Macaca mulatta: one gene and its partner. The protein of the gene in region 1 purifies or fractionates together with the protein of each later gene. This does not show direct contact. Links are inferred from orthologs where the notes say so. Each region holds a gene or a part of one and is shown on either strand. Other genes may lie near its edges.

Region 1 (4,113 bases):
ATGTTATTTATTCTGAGGGAATGAATTATCTGGTTAGGAATTAATCTACACACTACTTCTTCTCTTTTCCTTTTCTGAGACTGTGTGTGTGCATGGCCAAGTGTTAGGAATTAATCTGCACACTACTTCTCTTTTCCTTTTCTGAGACTGTGTGTGTGCAGCCAAGTGTCAGTATCGACAGAACAAAACTATAGTTTGTCTTATTTTACTTCTAAAGAAGAAACATATTTCTGAAATTTTCAGGTTAACTGAAGAACTTGATCTTCAGAAAAAATTGTTAAAGATGAAAAAAAGTAAAAAGGTAACTGTTTTCAGAATGTCAGATTTGAGTAGATGCATCTAATAAGGGTATTAATTTTTTCAACAAAATTCAGAAAATCTAGAGGTCAACTATAAGGGAACAAGGGAAAAGAGGCATAAATAAGTTGCGTATGCACTCATGTAAGAATAAGGGGTAACAAAAGAGGCATAAAGAAACCAAGAGGAAAGGAATGAGAGAAGGAATGTATGGAAGAAAGAAAGGAAAGCAGAGAGGAAGGAATGGAAGAGATGGTTTTCAGCATATATTGTGGAAATTAGAAGACAAAAAGCAAATCTATTAATCTATTGACAATTCTAAATTAGTCAAACTGAATTTTAAAGTCCAGTGTACTTAGGTGGCATCTAGCTGGACTGGGGTATGAGGCCTTCAGGATGGCATGCACTGCACTCGGTCTTGGCCCTCCTCCTCGGATGTCTCTGAGGTGCTGGAAGACTCATCCGATTCTTCATCTGGAAATTCGGCTTCACCACTTCTCCAGCCCCGGTGATGACCTCTCTGTGTCAGGTGACGCATGAGGAACCAAAGCATGTACTGGTCAAACAGGCTGGCATGGTGCAAGCTATCTTCATCTCGTTCCCACTTGTTCTTCTTAATCACCTTCTTTAATCCAGTAAGCTCAGTGGCAGCTTTAGCTGTGGGTGTCCAGATCTTCACATTATGATCTAGGCCACTGGTCGCCAGCACAGGTAGGTAAGGGTGGGGTTCAAGACAGTTTATTGTACCTTCTCTGTTCCCCTTTAGGAACTGGATGATCTGGCAGGATGATTTCTCCCAGAAGAAGATATGCCCGCAATCACTACCGCTCACTACAAACTCACTCCTGGGGCCATAGAAATTAACACCTTTGACTGTGGTATTATTTCTGTGCCCCTTAAATCTCTTAGTGTATTGAGCACCATCACTGTGAGAGGAGTCGAAGAGGTAAATATCTTCATCATTGTAGCTGGCCAGAAGCTCTGTGCCATCGTAACTGTACACAACACAGGTGATGTTTGTTGGGAAAACACAATTAACCAGATGATGAGGAGTGAATTTCTTGAGCACTCCATTGTTTTCTTTCTCATCAATTCTCCTCTGGTCATAAATTCTTACAAACTGATCTTGTCCGCCCACTGCAAATTGGTAGGTATTGGCGGGATTCACAGTAATTGTATATAGTCCCACTTTCTTATCCTTTTCTCTTGTTACCACAACTTTTGAAGCTGGCCGGTCTTGTCTGAGGTCAATGGTGAAGACAACAGCATCTTCACCTGAAGTGAGGAACTTAGAAGGAGAGTCAGGCACCAGAGCCAACTTGTGGGCAGGTCCCCTGTGCTGGGCCACACACTTAGTATTCTCGAAATATGATGCATTAATTAGTTCTGCTACCCGTACCTGCCCATCACGGGCACACATGGCCAGGGTGGAATCACCACAATTAGGAAGGAATTTGGCCTGGAAGACATTATTTGTGTGACCACTTTCAAAGTTGAGTACTGGCCTCTGCCGTACCCAGTCCCACACTATCACCTTTAGATCATCACCGCTACTGGCCAGCCGGGTGCCACGCTGGTTAAAGTGTACAGTATTGACACAACCGACATGGTCTGCAAGACGATATTGCAGGCGGAAACGCTGCACAAAGGCTCTTGCCCCACAGGCCTCATATACAAAGCGGGGACGTGAACCCAGCTGCCGCTGGTGAAGAGCAGTAACGACCTGCCAGCGAGGTAGGGGCAGGGCAGATGTCTCTGAGGAAACCCACTCCTCCAGCGCCCGATCCTCCTCTAACAAGTACTGCTCATGGTTGGCACCACTGCATTGTGGACCCGCCCGAGGCTGTTCTTCTTCCTCCTCCTCCTCCTCCGCCTCCTCCCCTCCCTCCGCCTCTTCCCTTCCCTCCTCCTGTATCTCCTCTTCTTCCTCCTCCCTTTCTGTCTCCTCCTCTCCCACCAAAGGGTAATGGAATAAACTTTCACCACTCATGAGGAAATGCTCAAAGTCCTCCATGCTGTCAAGTTCGATGTCTTCACTTGCACTTTCTCGGTCTGAGCTTCGATTTTCTGTGCCGACATCATTGGGGAATCCACCATCCCTGGTATCACTGTCATCTCCGGTCATTGTCACACTCTGCTCTGAGGTCGCTATGTCAATGTCTGAGGAGTCCTCTGTCGCCGCCACTGCTCCAGACTGCTCCTCTGGGCTGCTGAACAGGCTTTCAGTCCCTAAGTCTGGTAAGCCATCTGTGCTTCCCTCTTGGTGGGACATCTCGAACGATCTTTGCTGTAGTTGATCTGGAACTGCAAAGGCCAGGCCCCTAAAAGCTCTGGGAAGAAAGTTGGCCTGCGGTTAGGACTGATGGTCGTGAAGGAAGTAAGCGCGTGGCAATCAAACGCCAATCTGATTGGCTAAAGGGGACAATAAACTATTCTGCCAAGGCAGTTGCCAGTATGGGATCCCATGAGGTTCAGAAAGCTTCTTACCTGCTCGCCTCCTCGCAGCATCCAGATTGCTCTAGGTTTTCCAGGCCCAGAGCCCCACCCCGACAGGCATCTTACACTGTGAGTAGCTGCGGGTTTTTGAAGATGAAACTTGCTGCACCTTGGAAAATGTTCTTATTAGAGAACCATGAGCAAAAGTGATCCTCTTTAAGCAAAATAGTTTTTAGAAGCCTCTCAGTGTTTTGCTTGAAGGTAATGTACTCTATAAAATGAAGATGTAGGCAAGAACAGTGAAAAGTTAGCTAAGTGTCCCACAGCTAGTGACTTTTTGACATACAAGAAATATCTTAAATCGAGCAGCTTGAGGGAAACCTTGAGTGCTCTAACTGGTAGAATCGATATAGGGTTGCCAGATAAAATATGGTATGCATAGTTAATTGCATTTCAGATGAAGGATGAATACTTTTTTTAGTATGAGTAGGTCTCAAATATTACATTAGATATATTGCCACTAAAATTTTATTTATTATTTATCTGAAATTCAAATTTAACATGGTGTCCTCTATTTTTATTTGTTACATCTGGCAGGCTCCTTTAGTGAAAAGAATTTAGACCCTCAGTGTAATGAGGGCTGAAATCAACTGATCAATTGAAAGTGGACATTGAAATGAGTAATGGCTTCACCTATTTGAGATAGAAGTAGTACTTCCTTTTTTTCTTATGCCACTAGAGTTCTTATATATTTATTTAGAGTTAATTCAATTTAAGATACTTAGGGAACACCAACACAATTTTATGGAAAAAGAAATTATGTGATGTCATAGAACTATAAAATCTCTTACATATCACCCACAATATGTCAGAGGTTTCTGTGGGGCCTCTAAGGAACAGAAAACAGCTCTACAGAGACAATTAATTGGCATTACTGTGTTAATTTAATAGTTTCTGTGAATGAATTATCTAAGGTGATGTCAGCATATTTTCAAAGGGCTACAGTAAACTGCTAACTAAGAATGCCAGAATGAGGAAAACAAAGTTTCCCTCAGAGTAACTGCAAGATAAATGCAAAATTGATTAAAAGTAGAAGTACACAGTCTTCTAAAGAAAGCGGATGGTTCCAAGGCCAATAGTAACAGAAAGATATGTAAAAGAGTATTCATAGCAACTTGTAAAGCCTAGCACAGCAAACTGAAAACCACTGAAAAGCCCATCAGGAATAACATGGATATATAATGGAATAATGTACAGAAGTGAGTAGACTAGACTAGAATTGAATACATGAGCATGGATGAATCTTTAACACAATGATGAGTGAAAACACAATTAAAAAGGATAGTCAATAATTTCAATTTTTTGCAAGTATATATTATT
Region 2 (4,281 bases), on another chromosome or scaffold:
ACGCCAGCAATGAGGGCAGTGACCTGGAGCCCCCGCGTCTACTTACACCGCGACAACTCCGCGATCCACGGACACCGCCCGGCCCCCACGGCGGCCCTGCAGGGGAGCCCCGGCCGCCGCTGTTCGGCCTTTCAGTCGGCTCGCGCCGCTGCCCGCCGGGGACCCGGACAGAGGACAGGGGGCGAGGCGCGAAAGGAAGACGCCTGAGGGTCCAAGGCAGGAGGGGACACACGGAACACGCCGAGGGCCAGCCACACCGCCGCGCGCTCCCCGGCTAGGACCCACCTGCTGCAGGTACTGGTTGATGGTAATGTGTGCCATGGCAGCGCCGCCGAGCACAGAGCGCCACCCCCTACACCCCAAGCGGGACAGCTGGCGTCACTTCCTGCCCTCGGTCCGTCTGGGTCCCGGAGCCCCCGACCCCGTCTCCTGTGCGCAGGGTGGTTCCGGAGGGAGAATCCAGGGACCGGCTCGGCGACACGCTCGGGCTAAGGGGTCCCGGGGTCTTTCTGTCGGGCCCCCGTCCTCTCAGCCGGGACGCCAGCGACTCTGATTGTGTGTTCGGGCCCGCCCGGGCTGAGGGGTTTGGGGTCCAGTGGCGAGAACAGCCCCACTGCTAAAGTGCCTTTCACTGCGCTGTCCCCTCGACTGCCCCTTGTGAAAACGAGGCCGCGGATCACGCTCCGCGCCGGGCTGGGCCAGGGACTCGGGACGCGCGCGCCCGAGCGAGGGTGGAGGGGAGGGACATGGCGCGCGCTCCCGAGCTCTCATAAGGTGCCTCCGCCGCGCGCTCCCGAGACTTCAGAAGTTGGGGCACGTCCCGGCGCGCACCCCCAAGCCCTCGAGGTGGTCTCACGCCCCGGGTGCGGGTGCCGAACCCTCAGGAGGAGCGCTCCCTGGGGCCCTCAGGAGGGGGTCCCGGCTCCCGAGCCCCTCAGGAGGGGGCCCCCGGCACGCACCCCCGAGCCAGGAGGGGGTACCCAGAGCCCCGGGGGTGTCCCGGTGCGCCCCCCGGAACCGGGGCTGTCCCGATCCCTCGGGGGCGGGGGTGGGGGTCCCGGCGCGCGCCCTCGAGCCAGGAATGGGTGTCCGAAGCTCTTAGGGGGGGTCCGATCCCTCAGGAGGGGTTCCCAGCGCGCGCCCCTAAGGGCTCAGCAGTAGCCGGGCGCGGCGGCGGTTGGACTCGGGCACGCGGGCGGGGCGGGGCGGGGCGCGCGAGGAGGACTGGGCGGAGGCCGCGCGGACCGGGGCGGGCGGAGCGGAGCTGGGCGGGCGGCGGCGCTCGGGGCGGGGCGCGGCGGTTCCGGCCCAGCCATGGCGGACGAGGCCCCGCGGAAGGGCAGCTTCTCGGCGCTCGTGGGCCGCACCAACGGCCTCACCAAGCCCGCGGCCCTGGCCGCCGCGCCCGCCAAGCCGGGGGGCGCGGGCGGCTCCAAGAAGCTGGTCATCAAGAACTTCCGAGGTGGGTGCGGCGGCCGGGTCGAGGGCCGGGCGACCCCAGCGGGCCCCACGAGACCCCGCCCGCCCTGGGGGGAAGGCCCGAGATCCGTACGGGCCTCTTGAGCGCGGGCGCTGGGGCGCCGGCCGGGTCGGGGGTGGCGACGCGGGGCGCTTCGCGGCGCGCCCTGAGCCGCCCGCTCTCTCTCCGCCCTGCAGACAGACCCCGGCTGCCCGACAACTACACGCAAGACACGTGGCGGAAGCTGCACGAGGCGGTGCGGGCCGTGCAGAGCAGCACCTCCATCAGGTACAACCTCGAGGAGCTCTACCAGGTGAGGCGGCGGCCGAGGCTGGGGGCGCCGCTCCTGCCCCGCGTGACGCAGACGCGGCCGGGCGGCCGCTCCGGGTGCCTCGCAGGCTCTCGCCGGGGAGCGGAAAGGCAGGGCGTTTGCCTCCACTGCAGGGCCGGGAGCCCCAGAGGCAACAAGTGGTTTTGTTTATTGCCGTGGTGGAATTTTTGTTTTCAGGCTTAAGCTGCTTAGAACGATTCTTAAAGTTATCCCATTACCGAAGAGAAGGAGGTGTGTTTCTAGGAGCCACGTGACTCATATTTTGCAAGTATACAGCAAATTATTTCTCTCGTTATAAATAAAACTGTTAGTACTGTGTCACTTGCCACAGTAATAGGGTTTTTTCTCTGTTGTGTTTTGTGATTAATGGTTCCCTTTAAGATATTCAGATTTTGAAAAACTTCAAAATTCAAAAACAGTGCTTTTCTTCTCTGTTTTGTGATCAGTGGTTGCCTTTAAGATATTCAGATTTTGTAGCGTTTAATTCAAAGTGATGGTGTTCCATTTATAAAGTAACAAAAAATGGCTAAAAGTGCATTTTACCGTACTTGGATATTTTATTTACATGCGGATGTTTTTTTCTGGCGTCGTCTTTTTGTAAAACAACGTTCATTAAGTAGTCTGATATCTACATTTTGGGTCACGATGTGTCATACACTTATTTCTGTGAAAATACTTGAATTAAAAAAATTCTTTTCTGGATATGCAAGTGACTGCATTGTAAAAATTATAAAAAATATATAAAAGAAGACTTCAATCACCTATACTCCTACCACCCAAAGAAAACTGTTGACAGTTTGGTGTACATACACATCCATTCTTTGTCTGAAGTGTAAGTGAGTTATGTTTTCTTGTCAGCTTTGAGATACAGTCTACATATAATATGCACTCCAAGAAGTTTTAACAGATGTATATATACCGTTATGTAACCGGCACCATGGTCAAGATAGACTCTTCTTGGTAGAAAGGTAGAATATTTTTACCACCCCCGAAATTGCCATGACCACTTTTGCAATCAGCCCTCTCCCCTGACTCCTAACCCTTGGCAGTCCCCCATTTGCTTTCTGTCGCTATATTTTGTCATTTCCAGAACGTTATCTAAATGCAGTCATCTATTTTGTAGTGTCTGGCTTCATTCACTTAGGACAGTGCTTTTGAGATTCATGTGCACGCAATGTGATTGTAACTTGTTTATTACCTCATAGAATGGGTATACCACAGTTATTTTCTCCATTCATCAGTTAATGGACATTTGAGTGTCCATGTTTGGGGTTTTTTATTTGTTTCTTTGAGATAGAGTTTCACTCTTGTCACCCCAGGCTGGAGTGCAGTGGCGCGATCTTGGCTCACTGCAACCTCGCAGATTGAAGCGATTCCCCTGCCTCAGCCTCCCAAGTAGCTGAGATTACAGGCACCCGCCACCACACCTGGCTAATTTTTGTATTTTCACCATGTTGGTCAGGCTGGTCTCAAACTCCTGACCTCAGGTGATCCGCCTGCCTTGGCCTCTCAAAGTGTTGCGATTACAGGCGTGAGCCCCTGCACCGGCCTTGGGTTGTTTTAAATAAAGCTGCTGTGAACATCTGTGAATGACCCTTTGTTTGGACATACATTCTTATTCCTCTCAGGTAAGTTCTGCTTACTTCTTTATCTAGAAGTAAGTTCTCAAGGGTCATATGGAAAATATATGTTTACCTTTTTATGAAATTTCTTGTTTTTCACAGTGGCTGCCCCTTTTGTGCCTCTCCCAGCAGTGTATGGGAGTTCCAGTTCCAGTCCGCCACCAGCATGTGGTGTCCTCAGCCTATAATTTTAGCTGCGCTAGTGGGTGTGTGGTGGAGTGTCGCTGTGGTTTTAGTTTGCATTTCCCTCTGATGTGAAGCATCTTCATATTTACTTGCCATTCTATGTATCTTTTTAGACGAAGTGTCTATTTAAATATTTTGCTCATTTTTGTTGTGTTGGTTATTTTCTTACTATTGAGTATTTGAGTTTATTAAGTATTCTGGATACAAGTCCTGTATCAGATATTCGCCTTACAAATACTTTCTCCCTAGTCTTCAACTTGTCTTTTGATTCTCTTAATTGTGCCATTTGAAGAGTAATAGTTTTAAGTTTTCAGGTCACATGTATCAGTTTGTTCTTCTATGGACTGTACTTTTAGTATCCAAGAAATCTTGCCTAATCTAAGGTCACAAAGTTTTCTCTTATATTTTCTTCCAGACATTTGAGAGTTTTAGGTTTTACATTTAGGTCTATGATCTATGTAGAGTGAATTTTTGTATATATTGTGAAATATAAATCTAGAGTCAGAGCGGGTGCAGTGGCTCATGCCTGTAATCCCAGCACTTTGGGAGGCCAAGGCGGGTGGATCACCTGAGCACTCAGGAGTTTGAGACCAACCTGGCCAACATGGTGAAACCCCATCTCTGCTAAAAATACAAAAAATTAGCCGGGCGTGGTGGCAGGCGCCTGGAATCCCAGCTACTCG

What was found.
Region 2: the proteins of DCAF8L2 (region 1) and CUL4A purify together in Homo sapiens (affinity purification with western blotting; 3 studies listed by BioGRID and IntAct, with this or other methods). This does not show direct contact. The link is inferred for Macaca mulatta from reciprocal best matches to the Homo sapiens genes DCAF8L2 and CUL4A.

What each region holds. Positions count from the first base shown.
Region 1 is NC_133426.1:27,584,382-27,588,494, reverse strand, and holds DCAF8L2 (DDB1- and CUL4-associated factor 8-like protein 2), read right to left. Parts: upstream 2,629-4,113; 5' UTR 2,570-2,628; coding exon 689-2,569; 3' UTR 571-688; downstream 1-570.
Region 2 is NC_133422.1:107,452,842-107,457,122, forward strand, and holds the start of CUL4A (cullin-4A), read left to right. Parts: upstream 1-1,299; 5' UTR 1,300-1,314; coding exon 1,315-1,462; intron 1,463-1,656; coding exon 1,657-1,772; intron 1,773-4,281. Other genes in the region: PCID2 (PCI domain-containing protein 2), read right to left, coding at 286-321. UniProt on the Homo sapiens protein: Core component of multiple cullin-RING-based E3 ubiquitin-protein ligase complexes which mediate the ubiquitination of target proteins. As a scaffold protein may contribute to catalysis through positioning of the substrate and the ubiquitin-conjugating enzyme.